Yarrowia lipolytica: one gene and its partner. The protein of the gene in region 1 interacts with the protein of each later gene in a biochemical or structural test. Links are inferred from orthologs where the notes say so. Each region holds a gene or a part of one and is shown in the gene's direction. Other genes may lie near its edges. The genes, in order: YALI1_B01752g and YALI1_E37455g.

What was found.
Region 2: the proteins of YALI1_B01752g (region 1) and YALI1_E37455g form a complex in vitro, tested with the Saccharomyces cerevisiae proteins (3 studies listed by BioGRID). The link is inferred for Yarrowia lipolytica from reciprocal best matches to the Saccharomyces cerevisiae genes SUI2 and SUI3.

What each region holds. Positions count from the first base shown.
Region 1 is NC_090771.1:170,288-180,263, reverse strand, and holds YALI1_B01752g (uncharacterized protein), read left to right. Parts: upstream 1-5,005; coding exon 5,006-5,947; downstream 5,948-9,976. Other genes in the region: YALI1_B01813g (uncharacterized protein), read left to right, coding at 1-1,993; YALI1_B01771g (uncharacterized protein), read right to left, coding at 2,761-2,852, 2,903-3,095; YALI1_B01760g (uncharacterized protein), read left to right, coding at 4,155-4,197, 4,241-4,470; YALI1_B01725g (uncharacterized protein), read left to right, coding at 7,652-7,670, 7,714-7,976; YALI1_B01719g (uncharacterized protein), read left to right, coding at 8,151-8,227, 8,271-8,451; YALI1_B01711g (uncharacterized protein), read right to left, coding at 8,537-9,100. UniProt on the Saccharomyces cerevisiae protein: eIF-2 functions in the early steps of protein synthesis by forming a ternary complex with GTP and initiator tRNA. This complex binds to a 40S ribosomal subunit, followed by mRNA binding to form a 43S pre-initiation complex.
Region 2 is NC_090774.1:3,741,672-3,751,068, forward strand, and holds YALI1_E37455g (uncharacterized protein), read left to right. Parts: upstream 1-3,825; coding exon 3,826-4,650; downstream 4,651-9,397. Other genes in the region: YALI1_E37419g (uncharacterized protein), read right to left, coding at 1-268; YALI1_E37441g (uncharacterized protein), read right to left, coding at 2,105-2,439, 2,498-2,594; YALI1_E37484g (uncharacterized protein), read right to left, coding at 5,268-6,755, 6,835-6,917, 6,969-7,011; YALI1_E37494g (uncharacterized protein), read left to right, coding at 7,739-8,329. UniProt on the Saccharomyces cerevisiae protein: Component of the eIF2 complex that functions in the early steps of protein synthesis by forming a ternary complex with GTP and initiator tRNA.

The sequences.
Region 1 (9,976 bases):
TGCTGCCTCCCAGGCCACGTCCTCAGGTATCGGCGGCTTTGTCGACACCGAAAACGACGACCCCGAAGACGAGCTCAACGACGCAGAGGAGCATATTGATGATGACGATACCGCCAACGTCCATCACGATGGAAAGAGAGTAAGTCTTCCGCGTGAGAAACAACGAACCACCCTCCGTGCCTACCTTCATACTCTGGTGTCAAACCGAATGGTAGCCAACTCCAAGACGCTCCTCGAGTTTCTCTACATGGACCCCATTCAAATGACACCCAACGAGATTCGCGATATGGAGCTGCGTCGAAAAGTCGACATTGCCCGTGTGCGTGACCAGCTGCAGTTCTACGAGGTTGCCCAAGCCCGAGCGCAGGAGCTCAACGTTTACCTCCAGGAGTTCAAGCAAGATCTTGTGCGGGAAGATGGTCTGAAACACATTTTCGACGAGATCCGGGACAAGAGCAGCGCACGTGACCTGAGTCCCCGGTTCCAAAAGTTCATCAAGTGGGCGACGATTGAGTTTGCCGCCACGCTGTTCCACATGTTTGTGGCGTCGGACAATGCTCCCGAGGTGTTTGCGCAGGTGTGTCGTCTTCACCGGTTCATTCCGTACACGGTGATCAAGGGCATTTTGCGGCTGTCCAACCCCGTCTCGATCATGAAGGGAATGATGGATCTGTTCCTGGCCCAGCCGTTTGGCCGCAAGTCGCTCTTCCAGAATATCATCTGGTACATGTTACAAGAAGACATCAAGCAGCAGGAGCGGGCCATCAAGGAGCTCAAGCTGCTCATTGCCGATGATTCTGTGTGTCAGGGACTGGAGGATTTTGTCTACGCTGACGAGGCCACTCATCAGCGGGTGCTCAAGACCAAGCATGCTCATGACTGCGACATGGTGCTGGCCATTTTCAAGCTGCAGGCAGAAGAGAACCATTCCTGGGAACAGGAGCGCACTGTGCAGCTGTGGTACGAACGGTGGGACAATGCGGTGGAGGAGGAGCCGAGTAACGATCCCCATGAAGTTCAGTCCGACGAGGTGCTCAAGTTTTCTGCCACCAAGAACTTGCTGAAGCATTTGACCAGAAAGCGAGACAAGGACCTGTTCCAGGATCTGATCAATGAGAAGGCGACCGTTCAGCTAGTCAAGGATCTGATCACCATCTTCTACGAGCCCCTGATTCGGGTCTTCAAGGATGCCCATATTTCTGAGGCAGTGGGAGATCTTCAGCGGTTTGCCGACGACCTGATCAAGACGGTCAGCAAGAGTGAGATTGATTCGCTCACTTCGGACGCCAATTCGCAGGTCCAACTGTTTGTGGACCTGTGCAACCGACACGTTGACTCTCTGTTCAAGTTCATCCACAATGTGTACCAGCACGACGGCGGTCTGTTTGACCAGCTCATGGGCTGGATTTCGGACATTATTCTCTTTCTGAAGGACGGCCAGCAGCATGGAGCTCCTCTTGATCTCGAAATGATGCTGGCCAACTACCCCGGTGACAAGGAGAGGGTGGTGTTTGAGGTGGACCAGATTGTCGACTGGACACGACGACGAAAGGACTGGTACGATCTGCGCGCCGCGGCAGCCCAGCAGATGCGTGACGGCGGAGTTAAGCGGTTGTCGAGGTCGTCTTCGGTCAACTCGACCCTTGCAGCCATGGGTGCTGACGCGGAGGACGACATTGACACGCGATGGGACTCGACCTTGCCAGGAGGAGCCAACGGCATCAACACGGGCGATTTCGGAATCGATATTGAAGACATTAACGAGCTGGAATTGGACGTGGCGGAGCTGGATCTAGAGGACCGCGCTATCATGGGCAAGAGCGAGGGACAGCTGGATGCGGTGGAAGAGGAGAGACGACGACGACAGTTGGCCCGGAAGATTGAACAGAAGCAGCAGTCCAGCGACTTGCCGCCCCAGCGACCGGATATTACCGAGATTCCCAAAATGCTGCCTGTTTTCAAGAACCAATTGTTGGAGATTCTGGACCGCTAGAGCGAACGGCGAAGATGCATCGCTCAGATGCGGAGCAGTAAGAGTACTCAACTCTTCACTCTTTTCAGCTCACTACTGTCAGCTCTGCTCTAACCACTGTCAGCTACTGACTGACTGGAGACAATAGATATTTTACATAGAATAATGACATGTTACTTTCGTTTTGTGTCTTTGGGTGGTAATTCTTGGGTGTTCAAGTCACGTGAAGGATTTTAGTCACGTGACTGGCAGAGATTGCACACACACTCTGATCCAGATCCAGATCACTCACGTATCGAGAGAAGCGGTTTCACGTTATAAGATACTTAACACGTGACTTAACATGTGACTTAACATGTGACTTAACACGTGACTCGCGGTCCTGGACTCGATTTGTTGTAGATGTCCAGCTCTCTTTAATTTAACAAATATTAGTTAGACTTTGTTGACATCAAAACTTGACTTGGGGTCTTTATCTAGGGATCCAGAGGCGGTGGAGATATGGCGTTTGTCTAGATGGATTCTACGATATTGGTTTCATGGTTTTTTCTGTATTTTGAACATTTTTGCTATACAATACTTCGTTCTGTGCGGATATCTTTTTTTCATCATCAACTATTATTTGTTAGAAGTATAGTTGAAAGGTTGGCATTCCCCCTATAGCATGAACCGCGCTCCAGAACGATGGATAATGCGCCAAATGAAACGGAGACGGTGACCTGAAATGACCTTCAGACGTCAAGTTTCATTTTGATCAACTTCCCATCTCTCTAGGCACAGTATTGTATTCAGGATCTAGTCCAGGTGATAGTAGAGCACAATAGTGAAGGGATAACTTGAGTAGGTAGTTGTGTAGTTGGCCTGTAGGTACAAGAGTAGACTCATTTCAACGCCCTATACCAGAGGAACAGTTATACCTACCTTTTCAACCGGTGGCATTACTCGTTCCTGAGGTATCATCAAGTGAAGGCATGAGATGTATGTGGCGAAAGTAGGAACGACAAAATCGCAACAAAAGAGGTAGAACAGGAGATGGAGAAGGGCATGTAGTGCTACCTCGAGATCTGGAGTGCCACCTTCGAAGCTGGCCCTCCGGGTACCGAACAGACACCGAACATGCCATGTCGATATCTAGACTGTCCAGTCGTGGCGGGATGTTTGCTGCATGAGCTGTGGAAGACGTCAAATGGCGCTTGGTTCGGTCCTGTCTCTGTCTGACAGTTCGGTTGGCGGCAGTCGATGGAAAAACAACAACAACTTTCTCATCAGAATTTCATTTTTGCAACTTTCGGTCCTTTCATTCATCATAGTGTTGGGAATCGTCACGGCTTCAAGGAGCATTGGTTTTGGGGAGCAATTGGGATGAGCATTGTACCCAACTTTTGACTGGTCATTGCTGTGCGGAAATGGTGCTGCTGAGTCGTAATCGGCTCGTCTCCAGCTTTCAAATGGTTCTATTTTGAGGAACGCTCACCGAGTCGGAAGGAACTGGTTAGCGGTCCACACATGATGGTGGAACCGTCGGATCAGAAGACAACCCCTGCTCCAGAGAGAACTGATTCGGGAAATGATTCAGAGAGAAATGGAACTGACTCAGAGCCACCTGGAACCATCTCAATGACAGTGTTTTCCGTCTCGGAATTAGAAAACTCCACTGAGAAGACTTGGGGAAGTGAATGGGGTTAATTGGGCACTTTTAGCACTTGTGATTTGTCAACAACTGCCCCCCTATGACTAATAAGGAGTGCCATGTCTGGGATGAGAAAGAGCGCGCTTCTCCAGAAGTTTCTCGGGTAATCAGGAGTGGTCTTTTGGAACTTTTGCGGCATTGCCATTGTACCAAAGTCACAGAAGACAACACAACGAATCAAACCCTTCAGAGATTCTAGAACCGTCTCAATATTTTCCATCGAAAAGAAATGACAAACGTTCATGGCGCAGCTGTCTTCAGATTCTTGTAGCCCCTTTCCCTTACCTTTGCGACGGCTGTTCATCGCTGTAAACGAAAGAAAGAAGAAAAGAAGAAGAAAAGAAGAAAAGAAGAAAAGAACCCTCTGATCATTCTCAACAAACCGATTCCAGCTGGCCCATGATCGATCTGAATGACGAACAATAACGAGCCAAGTGGATTCCCCCACCAAATCAACCCCAAATTCAACACCCCGTCAAGAAAACACATCTGATGAAATCTAAATCAAACCTGAGACAGATTTCTATTGCGTCACGTGACCAACGCCAACACCCCCGCCATCTCGGTCACGTGACCAGCGCCCACCGCCTCGCCAACATCTCCACCAACCACACCTTATTACACAAAGTCCCGCTCCACCTTGATATATAAAGCCCATGTCCGCCTCCGAAACCAACTCTTCCTTCTCCACACCTGTTTTTCCATCTCTTTCCACCACACAATCAAAGCGGCGGACGCAATCATGTTCTGTCTCCAATTCGGCGGACGTGTGGAGGATAGGATGGGGAGACGGGGGTCATTGAATTGAGGAGAGTCACGTGGACTCACGTGAGACTAGGGTATCTTTCATGGGTTCTCCTCCTGGAGGGTATCCTTCTGGAGGGTATCCTTCTGGAGAGTATCCTTCTGGAGAGTATCCTTCTGAAGATGCTGACTTTCCTGTTTGGTGTTCATGTCTGACACAAACTGGCTGGTGTGGCACGTGTGCACACTGCACAAGTGCATGCATCTGTGGTTGTGCTAGTTCCACATAATTTAAGCTTTCTGGGGAGGGGGAAGGCTGATCATAGATTAAGAGTCTTCCTGAATCAGAGTCTTCCCGAATCTGAAGATTATTTCAGATGGCGTATCTGGCCCATGCAAAACGGTCTGTGCCATATTGTGAGCCATTATTTCCGCTTCCTCAGCTCCCATAAACTACATCCATCCGTGCCCAGTGGGAATCGAACCAACAACCTCGGTTCCCGCCACGTGACCAACCTAAAACTGTAGCTGAAAAATCCTCATGCAATCAGTCATGTCCGAATCCAATCTCACCACCCACCGACACAAGCAGCAAAAAAATGGACGAAGTCAACACGACCACCTGCCGATTCTACGCCAACAAGTACCCCGAGGTCGACGACCTGGTGATGGTCAACGTCAAGGAGATTGCCGACATGGGCGCGTACGTCAAGCTGCTTGAGTACGACGACATTGAGGGCATGATTCTGCTGTCGGAGCTGTCGCGACGACGTATCCGGTCCATCCAGAAGCACATCAAGGTGGGCAAGAACGAGATTGTGGTTGTTCTGCGAGTGGACAAGGACAAGGGCTACATCGATCTGTCGAAACGGCGAGTGAGCGCCGAGGACGTGGAAAAGTGTGAGGAAAAGTACACCAAGTCCAAGACTGTGCACTCGATTCTGCGGCACGTGGCGGAGAAACACAAGTACTCGCTAGAAAAGCTGTACGAACAGGTGGGCTGGCCGCTGAGCACCAAGTATGGCCATGCCTACGACGGCTTCAAGCTGTCCATCACCAACCCCGACCAGGTGTTTGGCGATCTGGAGGACCCTGCTTCTCCCGCCATCATGGAGGATCTCAAGGCCCAGATTGGCCGGCGACTGACCCCCAACCCCGTCAAGGTGCGAGCTGACATTGACATCACCTGTTTTGCCTACGAGGGCATTGAGGCGATCAAGAAGGCGCTGGCGGCCGGTGAGACGCTCAACTCGGAGCTGGTGCCCGTCAAGGTCAAGCTGGTGGCCGCTCCTCTGTTTGTGCTCACCTCCACCTGTCTGGACAAGCAGAAGGCCATCGACACTCTCGGCGAGGCGATTGAGAAGATTCGAGAGAGCATTGAGGCGTCCGGCGGCTCTCTGACGGTCAAGATGGAGCCCAAGGCCGTCACTGAGACCGACGATGCCGAGCTCGCCAAGCTTATGGAGAAGACTGAGCAGCAGAACAAGCTGGTGGATGGAGATGATGATGATGCTGACGAGGAGGCTGGCGATTTTGAGTGATTGCGTCAGCAATGTACAGGACAGGAAGCAGAGGACTGCAGTGGAGGATAAAAGGAAGAGCATAGTCAAGGTGATATACCGATATTCCAACAGGCATGAGCGCAGCGCGTGAGTGGGTGCGCTTGTGAGTGCGAGACATCCAGGGCTCCGTGTAGCCCGTGGATTGTAACTGTAGTCAGTAGGGATACTTGTTATTGGCGTTGATAGTTGTAGCTAAGGTTGATTAGTCAGCGTGTAGAATCTTTGTAATATCTCTGAGGAGATACCAATCCGAGGTTACCTGAAGAGCGTTTGATTTCGAATGTGATTTTTTTTGGAGGGTGTAGATGATTAGTAATAGTCCGTGAGATTAGTAATAGTGGGTGAAAGAGTACGAGCATTATTCTGGCGCGATTACTGGAGTCCATAATTGCTAGAAATCAGGCGTGTGTTTTTCTGGAGTAGGTTCAGATTCCATTATAGATGGTGTAGATAGTGTAGCGCCAGTGGCATGAACGGTACTACCAAATTGTATTGTAGAAGTTTTGTGGAGATAGGTAGATGGTTGGGGAGTTGATAAGGAGGTTTATCAGGTGTGTAATAGCTGTGTGGGAAGTTTTTGAGTCGCTGCGGTTACTACAGGATTGTTTGAATGGTACTTTTGTTTCCGTTATTTCTTTAGTTATTGTTAGTTGGGAAATTGTTAAGGGGGTTTTGTTCTGGGGGTTGTATTTTGATGTTCCGAGGAACTAAAAGGGATTATGAGTATATCGGGGGGTTTAAAAGATCTACATTCTTAGCAGAAATTCACTTGTGGATGTTATTGGCACTATGATAAGTCTGGTTGTGTCAATCTTGGGGGATGTTGTGTTGGGTTTTAGTTGAGCCAGTAGTTAGCTTTTTGTTGGAATTAGGCTAATATTTTGTTGAGTAAAAAGATGTGAACATGGAGTGTTTTTGTATGAGATAAACAACAGAATCCAAAGGACTGCGGGTTCCAAGTGATCTTTCTCTACTTTATTTATCTTGAGAGTTTTATCCGTTCCAGTTTCTTTTCGATTGCTCTTCTTGCCTTGGGAACAGGTCTTACAAGAGACCATCTAATAATATGACGATAACTCGACTAGAGAATAAATCTGGTTATCAAAGACTTTGGTAATGGATTTAACATGACATTTCTCAACTACTGACGACTTTCCAACTTCATGTTACTTTTCAATCTGAAGTTTCATCGTCTCGCTGTGCATCCGGTCACCCTACTGAAGGTCGTATGAATATCATTGATACTTAGTGTAGGAAGCACATAGGACGTTTGGGGAGTTGACTGACGTGTTTCAACCACTCATTGGATGCCCCCAGAAACTTGAAACTATACATTTGAGTGTTTATAATGGAATCTGTAGCATTTTTAGTACATCCTGGTCCTGATTTGATGACTCCGACATATATACTGGCGTTAACAACGAGGGATAATAGCAATGGAATAACCATGACAACAAAGGGCGGATGTTTGGTGGTATAGCACCATGGAAATACTCCAGGAATACATATCTTCTACTACAAGATGCGCATTTGGCAATTGTGAAGACACCTACATACTGTCGAGCTAACCCATGATGTGTAACGACTTTAGAAATCGATACAGACAAGCTAGAGACACGGGGACTTCGAAATTGCCTCATTCCGGAGTCTACATTTCCAATTCCGCTTCAATCAGCTCTCGAAATGCTGAAAATGAAAAAATGTGGCTGTTCCGGATGATATACCGTAAAGTCTATGCGCCAAAGTGCGCCTTACGGACCCCTTAGCCCTGTCACGGGACTATGATACTACAATAAGACAGCTTTATAAGCATCTAACCGTAAGACCCACTTTCAACATTCATAGAGCAGACCTCCTCGATCTTGGTGTACTTCCATATTTTCAATTTAGTAGCCCTGGGTTAAGGAAATACATTGTGGAGATCGGTCGGGCTCCAGCTGTCGAATGGCACCACTCATTAGTCTGTAGCAGATATACTTTCAATGCCTGGCTGGGTATTACCACGTAACCATCATCAAAATATCATTTTTATGCTTGTCTCATCTCATGGCAAAATGATGCAATAAGTTATCTCGATATACCGTACACGTATAAAGAGGCTGTCGGGGTCTCGTGAGACTGGGTGACGCGGGTCCCAGGTTCTGTTTAGGGCACGATCGTCTCAGAGTTTCAAAACTGCGGAATGTGTGAAGCGTCTCTGCACCAACTCTTTCTTATACTTGTGGGGCTCTCCGCTTCAGGGGACTCGTTTGATGTTGTGTATATGAGTGGCCGAATGATTGGGTAGGGTGGTGGGCGGTAGAGAAGAGACCTTGACAGAGACCTTGACAGAGACCTTGACAGAGACCTTGACAGAGACCTTGACAAGAGACCTTGACAGAGACCTTGAGCGGGGGAAAAAAACCGTTAGAAAAACGAGGAGAAGAGGCCTTGAGCGTGGAACAAACGTGAAGGAAAACGTTGGGAAATGGAGAAATGGGTAACCACCAGTATCCTGAGTCGAGTGTCTATCTGTCAACAGTCGGATAAGACCCAAGCGGTTGTTGTGTTTCGTCCACATCCCACCATCTATTCCTCATAACCAGGAGGAGCCTCGTACTGTGGCAAATCCGGCTCGATGCCGTCTCGCGCCACCGAAACCTGTCTCTGGACTCTCTCCCTGAACGCTGTGTGTTTCTCCGCCAGAACCTTTTGGAACTCAATGGCACCACCCTCGCGAAAGTACAGATCGGCTCGCCACGTGGTTCCGTCCCGTCTCAGCCCGGGAACCAGATGCAGGCCTCTCTCGGCCTTGGGAATCGCCACAAACGAAATGTCCACCGAGTTGGGGCCAAACCACGGCTGAGTCAGCTGCACCTTGAGAATGTTGGTCATGGGAATTTCCAGCGAGGCGAAATTGACACAGTCCAGCTTGAACGCGACCACGTGAGGCAGCTGGGGCGCGTTGTCCGAGTCCGACTGCACAATGACCCGAGTGGCGTCAATCAGAACTGTCACTCCAGTCGCCTCGTATCGCACCGGAGATCGGCCCTCATCATAGGGCTTGGAGGTTTCGGTGAGTACCAGTTGCACGCTTTTGGCGCAGAGCTGCATGCCCGACGTTGATGTTGAGTTGGTGCTGTTGAGTGACATGTGGGTTGTGAGAAGTGTTGCTGGTACCGTTCTGTTGTGGTACAGTTCTGGAGATGCTGTCAAGTCCGGTGATGCGAGTCTAAGTTCAGGTGCGGTGTTTCTGCCATGATAGTGGGGATTCCTTTGGGGGTCATTTGGGGGTCGTTTGGGGAGTTGGCGTGGTCAGAAGGAGGATGTGGACGGTTGTTGTGAGACTTACAGAATCGATATCTAGAGGTTTCCTTTTTTCCAGATTTTATTTGATTAAATATAATTTAGAATAATCTAATCGTTTGAATTTATCAGAAACTTACATTTCAGGAAATTCAGTAAAAATAGCAATTTCAGAAGAAGAGAATAAATTCAGAAAAATGACAAGAAAAATGAAAACTTCAGAACATTTCCTTGCAAATTATAGAGACGTGTACAAATATATATTGTGCGCTATTCAACGGCCATATAATGAACCTCGCTCTACCCAAACCACCCAAATAGCTTGAATTTCTCCGAAATTTCGAATTTACTCAAAAAAAAAAAAAAAAAAAAAAAAAAAAAAAAAAAAAACCAACCTCAATTACTCAATTACTCAATAACTCCTCGATAACTCTTCCAAAACAATAAAAATAGTCGGAAAAAAACGCCAGTTGATTCGCCACATCGCACAGACTCCTCCACTCTCAGTACAGTCGCCCTTCTCCTCTTTTCTGGGCCGCCTGGAAGACATTGCCATCGATCCGATAAGCTTATTTTGACCAGAAAAATGGAGAGTTTGGGTGGTGAATTAGAAAGGCAAAAAGGTGGATCTATGGAGATGATTGAGACTGTTAGATGGGGAATAAATTGGGGGAATATTATAATATGGATTTTTCAATAACAAAAACTATACCATTTATATTT
Region 2 (9,397 bases), on another chromosome or scaffold:
TCTTGGTGGTCTTCTTGAGCGCCGAACTGCCAGGCTTTTTGTCCTCCTCCTTGATTCCAGCCACCGAGTGCTCGGGAACAAGCACAGCAGTCATTCCACACGAGCAGGTGGGCTCGGCGATAACTGCGAGACGGTGTTGACAGGCATGGTTTGGCCGTCCTCTTCTTCGAACTTGCACCAGAGGTCGGTTAGTATGGTCACAGGTGGAACTCCGATGACCGCGGATGCAGTTGAGACACGCGTACTTTTCGCCCTGGACGAGAATCATGTTGGTTGAGTGTGTCTAAAGACGTGATAGTTCGTGTACTATCATTAGTTTGGAGAGGAAGAGATATTGGAGTCGGAAAAGTTTATTGTAAATAAGGTTGCCTCACTCGGAAATGCATGACAAAGGCGGAGATTCTCTAGTCAAGTAGACACTGGGCATAGATAAGGTTGGGGGGATACGGGAGATGAGCAGGGACGACGAACTCACGTGACAGCTAAACTAGGGGACCTTTTCCTAGTCGGGCGCCTCATTTAGGAGCCCCATCAGCCTCCCCCTACCTCCCAAACCACCTCTCGTCTCGACAAACCTAAATAACAAGCAATCCTGCATCCGTGAGCAAATTGAACGTCACGTGACCAAATATGCAGGTGGCGGTATACAGGGTGATTAGTGATCGGTGTGATAGGGTCATGTGACGTCCAACGGCGAAATCACGTGAATCGGGACCAGGGGGGAGCCTGCTGGGCCAGTTATGGTCACGTGACGTACCTGCATAATCCATGCGTTGAGTGAAGGGGTGGGGGATGCTAGAGGCTGGAGGTGTGGTTTTCCAGTATTGCGGGGATCTGGGTAGATGGTTGTAAACCCTGGATCGAGAGGATCACGATGAGCTTTTCCAGTGTCAAAATCGTCTCTCTGTCAAGTTTTAGTCAAGTTTTAGACAAGTTTTAGACAATTTTAGACAATTTTAGAAAAGTTTTCAGGTTCATGTCATCGGGCCATCATAAATACAAGTATTCGTACAAGTATTCGTCGGAGACTGGATAACTTCTCGAGGTTGAGCAATTGGTGAGATCCAATCATGTCTACAAGTACTCGACTTCCTCCTGTTGGTGCCCACCTTGGCTCTTTGTTTCCGTGATCTCCATTTGGACATGCAATATGACATCCGTATGTCTTGTCTAACAAGCGTTTATATGAGATTGCGTTAGCACGATCCCATGCATTGTTAGCGCCAACTTCAGACAATAGCTGTCATCGAGATACAAGTCCAAGTAGACCTGCTCAATGGTACAAGTACTGTAGAGTGGATCTCTCATTTCGAGTGCGTTAGCGTGCTCTTCTCAGCCATTTGAAACGCGGTCCGCATAGACAGAGAGGTGGAGGTAGAGTGGCGCCTCAACGATCAGAAAACGCGACAGTTGTAGGTACAAGTCGCTACACCCGAGTCTGGCGCATCTTGTGAAATACCCTACAATGTTGTTATCGGCGCTCCTGTCTCTTTAATCATGTATTGACCCTTATCAACGCAATCTACAGATGTAAAGAAGCGGTACCTGGCTGAAACAATCAGTTTGTACTTAGCGGTACTTGCACCGTAAATGTCCGCTCTGCTTGTTTTGGTACTGTAGGTAAAACAGCTAGGGGTGCCGGATACGACCTAAAGGCCCTTATTTCAGCCGACACGGTTCTGTTTTTTGTTTAATTACCTCCAACTCAAACGGACGTTCCATCCATTCCAACAATAGGCGGATACTTGTGTCTAACTGTGATGTTAAAGGGCCCGCGCAACTCTGTATCTATCTTCTATTGTTCGCGGCACGAGGTATAGTTACTTAGAGTACCATAGACACGATATCCACGCAGGCTCGAACGGCATTAGATTTCATATGGGCTGTTTTTGGTTTCTCCAAATGAAATTTCACGTGGAGCAAGAGTCAGTCTGATTGTGAGAGGCATGCATCGCCGTTCGAGAGCGGCTCAGACTGTTGTCGTAGCGACAGTCGGCCTCGATACCATTTAGTGGTATATTGCTCGCGATTCAAAAGGCCCGAAATGCCGTCATGTCTTGGACCTTTGTTTCCCAAACCAGTATATTCGCTGCTTCTGTTGCTTTTAGTGTCTCATGACAATGCGATAATTTGTTTCAGTTTGGCCAAAGTGAAATATACACAAAATTAAAAAACAAAAAACAAAAAACAAAAAACAAAAAAAACCGAACCGAAAAAACCAAGTCCACCGGTAGCCACAGAAAAAAAAGTCTGAAAATCGTTGCTCAGATCGCTCCCATGCCGTGCCAGCCCTGGTTTTGTGTTTCCACACACGAGGCTCACGTTCCGGAACGAGTACAGTAGTGCCAAATCTGATGGGGGTTAGCTGAATGTTGAGAGCAGAGTAAAAAGCCGAGTGAGCATGTAGGAGAGCCGAGTGACAGTGGCAGGCATTAATATCTCATCCAACAGACCAGGAAAGACGACATATCGAGGCATTATAGGCGGATCACTCCACCCAACAACTGTTCGTCTCTGTGAAACCTCTCTGGACCCCACTGCTTGTGGTACAATACGAGTGCTGCACTTTTCACTTTCATCCTTGGACACGCCATAAACAGTTTAATCACCGCACCTGTCCAAATCAACGCCCAACAGCAATAACAGGCCTTTTATGAGATCTCCGTTAATATCTCATTGTTATCTGTCATTGACTCAACAAGCCCGCGGTGTTTACTTATGCTACCCCGTATATCTCAGGTGAGAGTCTACTTGTACTGAATCGTACATACGAGCGTTTGGATTCTACAGGGTGGGCCTATAGGTGTTCAAATATGGTCAGTGTTCACATAAGCCCGAGAGAGGGCCCCCAGTTTGTTGCCAAAGAGGAGTCACCAGTCGTCCCTCACAGATACAAACACGTGCAAAGTCCCTCAGCCGGGGCTAGAAACGGACACTTTTCACGCCCATTTGCTGTGTATATGAAAGGCAATCTAGCATACGCGCTCGTAACAAGAGACTTCATTTCGGATATTGAGGGCAAGTGTCTTGGATAGCTGTACTAATGTGGATGGTAAATGAGGTAGGAGTTATGGAGATCAACTCGATTGGGGTGTGAGGTGTCTGATTAGGGAGAGGCGGGAGGGGTCAGAGATGAGAGTTTGGATCTTAACGGGTTTACTTGGCAGGTGCCAACTGGAGCGATCGAATTCGTAACAAATTCATCGCTGCAATTATTGTAGCTATCGAAGGGAACAACCGGTATAATAGGAAACTGATAATATCAAAATACAGGAAATTGCCCGGAAATTACGAACGTGTTAAAATATCATCAAAAAATCTGCAAACCACCCAATAATATCATCACGTAAGATTCCATCACGATAGGAGCAAAAGTCTCTCAAGTGACCATTGTTTCTTCTTAGACCAAATAAAATGAGACCTCTTGATGAGAAATATTGTCATGGATATCCCAACATCAAGAGTATCTTTCTACAATACACACGTCAGCCATAACAAGCATTTCATATTCATTAACAAATTACAACTATCTCAACTCACATTACTTATCAACCCTACTTACCCGCCATGACTGAATCTAAGGTTCCATGTTCACGTGAGCGAAAAGAGCAGATCGGGCGGCATCCCCTAGGTGTTTAATAGTGGTGCCTAGAGTGGATTGAATAGAGATCTGAAAATTGGATATAAGATAAAATGGCCATTGGAGTATAAATCCGCTACTACGCCTCCTAAAAAGTCCCCATGACAGTTCCAAGATACTCATATACCATTTCCCCCAAAGGTTACCCTACCTCAACATAAAGTTTTACCGTGGTACAGTGAAAAATGATATCTCAAATTACCACCAGCAGTATCACAAACACCACACACATCATGTCGGACATTGAAGATAAGAAGGTGGAGAGTCTGGACTTCGACCCCTCTCTCAAGAAGAAGAAGAAGAAGAGCAAGCCTGCATTTGTGGAGGATGACGAGGTCTCCGAGGTTGCCGACAAGCTGGACGATCTCAAGACCTCTGCTGCCGCTGACGATGTGGACGAGTTTGATTTCAAGAAGAAGAAGAAGAAGAAGAAGGCCCCTAGCGCTCTGTCCGAGTTCGACGAGGAGCTGGAGAAGGCTGGTGTCGACGAGGACCCCGTTGCCTCTGGAGAGAAGGTCACCTACACTCTTGACGGAGAGAAGGAGTTCACATACCCCGAGCTCCTGAGCCGATTTTTCGACATTCTGCGGGAGAACAACCCCGAGCTGGCCGGCGACCGGTCGTCCAAGTACAAGATTCCTCCTCCTCAGCTGCTGCGAGACGGAAAGAAGTCGATTTTCGCCAACATTCAGGAAATCGCCTCCAAGATGCACAGATCTCCCGAGCACGTGGCCATGTTCATTTTCGCCGAGTTGGGTACCTCCGGATCCACCGACGGAAACGATCGACTTGTCATCAAGGGTCGATTCCAGCAAAAGGGTATGGAGACCGTTCTCAGACGGTACATTGTGGACTACGTGTCTTGCGCCACTTGCAAGTCCGTTAACACCCGACTCACCAAGGAGAACCGACTCACCTTCCTGGACTGTAACTCGTGTGGATCCCGACGATCCGTCTCGTCCATCAAGACCGGTTACTCTGCCCAGATCGGACGACGAAAGAAGATGTAGACGACCCGTCTACACAGATAGAAAAAAGGAGAATGAATGGATTATTGATATTGCAAAGAACAGAAGCCGGATTCAAGGACCATTTGACAAGACCATGACCTTTTTATTTGTGTGCCAAAGAACTGGGTTTACAGGATGTGTCCGGGTTGCGGGATGCAACAGTAGAACCCAGCTCGAATTGTAGATAGACGCGTGTAGCGTTACTGAGACGTGACTTTTGACTCGAGCCATTGAGTGACAGTGACTTCCAGAACCGACTCTTGTAATAATTCTCAGTGTAGACCTTCATGTACCTGGAGATGTATCATACACTCACTATAGGTTTGGTTACAGTACGACCGTTACAGCGTATCATCTCCTAGAGAAGTGCAATATTGCAATTCAGGAGTTTCCAAGCGTCCAATGATACTGTTCTTGGAGCCACAGGGACCCCGCCAACCATACTAATCATGTATGCTAGGACGATGACGCTACCGCTCTACCACCATCCATTCATATTCTCATGTAATTACATAATGCCATTCAAGCTCATAATGATCAATGAGCTGAAGTGTACCCAAAGGATTCGCCCGACATTATACGCGGCGCATGCATGCTGTTAAGGCGGTCAGATACGCCTACCTCAAGCAACTATACACCCTTGCAACGCCGTCACTGGCACAGGTGGCAATATGGCCCTTCCATATCGACCCTTCCTTTCCAGCTGTCCATGTGACACTGGATGCTGTGGCCGGCGAATTGCAGGCAATCTGCTCTACCGGCTCCGTGGCTCCCACGGTCCAGATCTTGACTCCCAATGAAGCTCCCACAGACGCGAACATCTCTCCCGATGCTGGGTCGACACTGATGGACGACACAGCACCCTTATGGGCATCCACCTGCCACACCAGCCGTCCAGCTAGATCAAATGCTCGGATAACGCCGTCTCGGAAACCTGCCAGCAGCGTGAGCTCCTGGGTGGACGCGTGGGCTCCTCCTACCATGGCCAGACATGTGACGCCGTTGTCCTCGCTGTTGTATGCGTCTTCAATCTTGTGGGTGACGAGTCCACTGCCCACGTCAATGAGGTAAATGTGAGCGTTCTCGTAGCCAACCACCAGCTTCGTGCCGTCCTTGTACAGCAGTACCGACGATGCCGACACAGGCTTGTTGGCAAACGTGTCTTCCGACAGATCGCTGTTTTCGTCCTGAGTGGCACGCTTGGGACCCTCAATGGAATGGAGCATGTCGTTGGTCTTGATACTCCAGATCTTGGTGGTGCCGTCGGTGGATGAAGACACCAGCACAAAGTTGTCTTCGCTCACGTCCAGAGCCACAATGCCCTCTTTGTGCGCGTTGATGTGGAACAGCTCCGTGACCAAGTCCGACTGCCAAAAGCGCACCTTTTTGTCCACGCCGGCGGAGTAGAACATGCCCGACGACTCCGACGCCACCACGGAGGTGACTGTGCCCACGTGACCGGTGTACGTGCTATGCGACTTGGACTCGTGTTTTTTGGCCTTCTCCAAACTCCATCGCTTGATGAGACCGTCTTCCGAGGCGGTCAACAAGGCGGTGGACGACTCGAATGACGACATGTTCAACGCGTTGTTGCCAGTGAGCTCGTGCTGCAGTTTCCAACTGGAAGTAGCGGAAGCATCTCCGTTTTGTGCTTGTGACACTGCTTGTGCCTGAACCGACTGTGCTTGCGTTTGTGTTGTGGGCTGAGTCTGTGGTTGTGACTGCGAATGTGTCGTGGGTTGTGTTTGTGGCTGCGAGTGTGTCGTGGGTTGTGTCAGTTGTTGAGGCTGCTCTTGGACAGGAACACGAGGCACTTCTCGAATGTCGCGGGTGTCTCGCACGGCCTCTCTAGCAGCGGCCTCCCTGTCCTTGGCATCCACATCCACATCGACAACATCAGGATGAAGCAGATACGAAACCTCCTCCAGACACTTGGAGAGATACTGCTGGCCCTCGACGAGTGGAGACGTGTCCAATGGTGGCAATTTGGGCACCTTGGCGTCCTCGCTCTTCAGCGCCTCCATGAGCATTTTGATTTCCTTCTCCTGGCTGGAATTGTGCGCCTTCAGCGACTTGTTTTCGCCCTCCAAGCGAGCTATGCGTGCCTTTGTGTTAGCTCAACGATTCTCGTTCCATCCCACCGCTCGTGTCGGCCAAAAGCCCCTCTTTCTCTCCGCAACTCACCTTCATTTCCGCCCTCTCCAGCTCCCATTGTATTCTGTCCTTTTCGTTCCGCTGCCATTCGCGTTGTAGATACTTCATGACCCCTGTGTTAGTGGTGGGCGTTAAAAAAATGCGGAACGTGGATTTGTACTCACCTGGAAGAGTGTACTCTCCCATGGGCGGGGTTGATGACGCCATGCTGGTGATGATGGGTTGTGTGTCTGGGTGGTGTGTGGACACTACAAGGTGTCTTCTAGTCGTACGTATCAGAAGGACAGTTTGATGACCTCGCATATTACTAAACTGAAATAGGGTTTGCGCTTGTGGGGGGGTGCACGGAGGACCCGGACGCGTGTTCGATTCCCAACATGGCTGAATTAAACGAGATTGTTAGCTTGCACAATGAAAAATAAAACAGGATACTGTACTTACTTGACTCCAACTTGTTCCAGTACAAGGATAGAACAAATATAGATGGTAGTTCTCCGAATGACTAATCAGACTATAAAAGACGTACACAAACACCTCTCTTATCTCCACGGAAATATCGGCTGGTACATGTACTGGTGTACAATACAAACGAATCTGTCTGTTTCTGGAGACCTTATGATGACACACGTGGAGGAGGTGTCATCTGACAGACACCCCGGTTCAGTGTTGTTTCAGTCAAGTTTTCTTCTGGTTGGATCTGGGTGTAAAATTCCTGTAAAATTCCTTCCATAGCCATTCTACAGTATGTACTATTGTAATTCAGACTATCGTGAGACAATATTGTTAAGGATCGGTTAGTGAAGGGTATCTTATGGAGATAGATACTTAGTCAAGCTTAACTAGTCAATTAAAATACATGACACATTTTACTTGATTTTACTCGGAACATATCGTACTGGCAGATAACACGCCGCCACCTGGTCTACACCACTAAATGTACAAGTACCCACACCAATCCTATATTACATTATTAATAATGGCAGTTACGCCACTTGTTAGCCTCTTGGGTACTGACTGTCTTCGATCCCGGACACAGATCAACATTTCATACCGTCTATACGCACAGCTGCGAACCAGCCGAACGTTGCAAATACTTGTAGCACACGTCAGTGCGCGGCTACTTGGTATTCTCCACCACCTTTCGCAGGGGCATGGCCCAGCTGCTGCTTCCGCTCTGTCGCAGCATGAACTGCACCAGCAGCTCCTTGGCGGTGCTGCCCTTGCCCTCATCTGCCAGGACCAGAGCATGGGACGCGATATCACGACACTCCTGGTCCAGACCGGGCAGAAGCTTTCGCAGCTTGACGCAGTAGTGGTCAAACTCGCGCTCGGGCAGCCCGTTGTCCTTCTTGAGCACCTTTTCCATCTGTGCCACCAGATCAGCCTCGGACACGTTGGTCTCGATGGCGTGCTCCTCCGGCTCAGCAGACACTCGCTTGGTCTCTCCGCTGGCCTTTCGGCTCCGGGGGACTCCGATGGGAGGAGGAGGTGGCAAAGAAGCCGAGCTGCTGAGGTTGGTGACTGACGTGTTAGCAGACACAGAGGCCGACGAGCCGCCTAGGGAGGTGTTGGAAGTGTTGGAGCGCGAGTAGATGGGCTTGGAGAACATGTTGAGATCCAGATCATTATAACCGGCGCCCTTGTACTGGGTCTGTGACGATTCGACCATGTTTAGAACTGTAGCAATGTGATATGTAAGAGACTATATGTATGTGCTTATTGGATCAAGATGGTGACGTGTTGGCAACACGAGTGACCGTGCATGAGCCAAAAAGGTTAATATTGGAGTGACGTTTTTTTTTGGAGTCAGAAACAAGACTGCAGCAAAATCAGAATATACGTTGGTGGAGGTGTGAAAAACACGTATCTGTGGGATCAGAATAAATAGCTGTTCGATTCCGAGCCGGAGTAATTATTTTCGGTAATATGTGGCGAATTTGGGCTTCCACATTAGCGTTACATTGTTGTGGATAATGTATAATGTCCCTGCTTATATTGTGAGCTTATTTGGGCGGTGTGGAATATTTTATAATTATTTAATTAAAGGAAAATTTAAATTCCGTTCAATATAATGGCCGGAAAATTCAATTCCAAAAAATAAAAATAAAAATAAAAATAAAAATAAAAATAAAACCAAAGAAAAACATAGTACCAAAAATGGCACCATCGGAGAACAGAAAAAAATCACGCCACGTTGACGCCTAAATCTGCTAATTTAGCCACGCCTCAGAGTGCTTCTCGAACCCAACGCACGCCAATTTAAACCGGTTGATGGCGGGTAGAAGGGGTTACGAGCCTCACAATTGCCCTAAATAGTCTGTGAATATTGCTTTTTTTTGAAGTTTTTTGAATTTTTTTTTTGATCTAAAACAGGAAGCGAGTCCCATTGCAGATAGAACCTCCGAGGACTGGGGATGCTAATGTATGGTTGGGTCAACTGTAGTCCATGATTAGCTGGAATATTGGACAGATTCGGGCGTAGAAAAAAAAACCAACAATATCCAAACAATGCCGTGAGAATGGACTCCAGCTTAGATCATTTCACTGGAGAGTGTACTTGTAGTTCGAGTACGAACTCGAGTACGAACTCGAA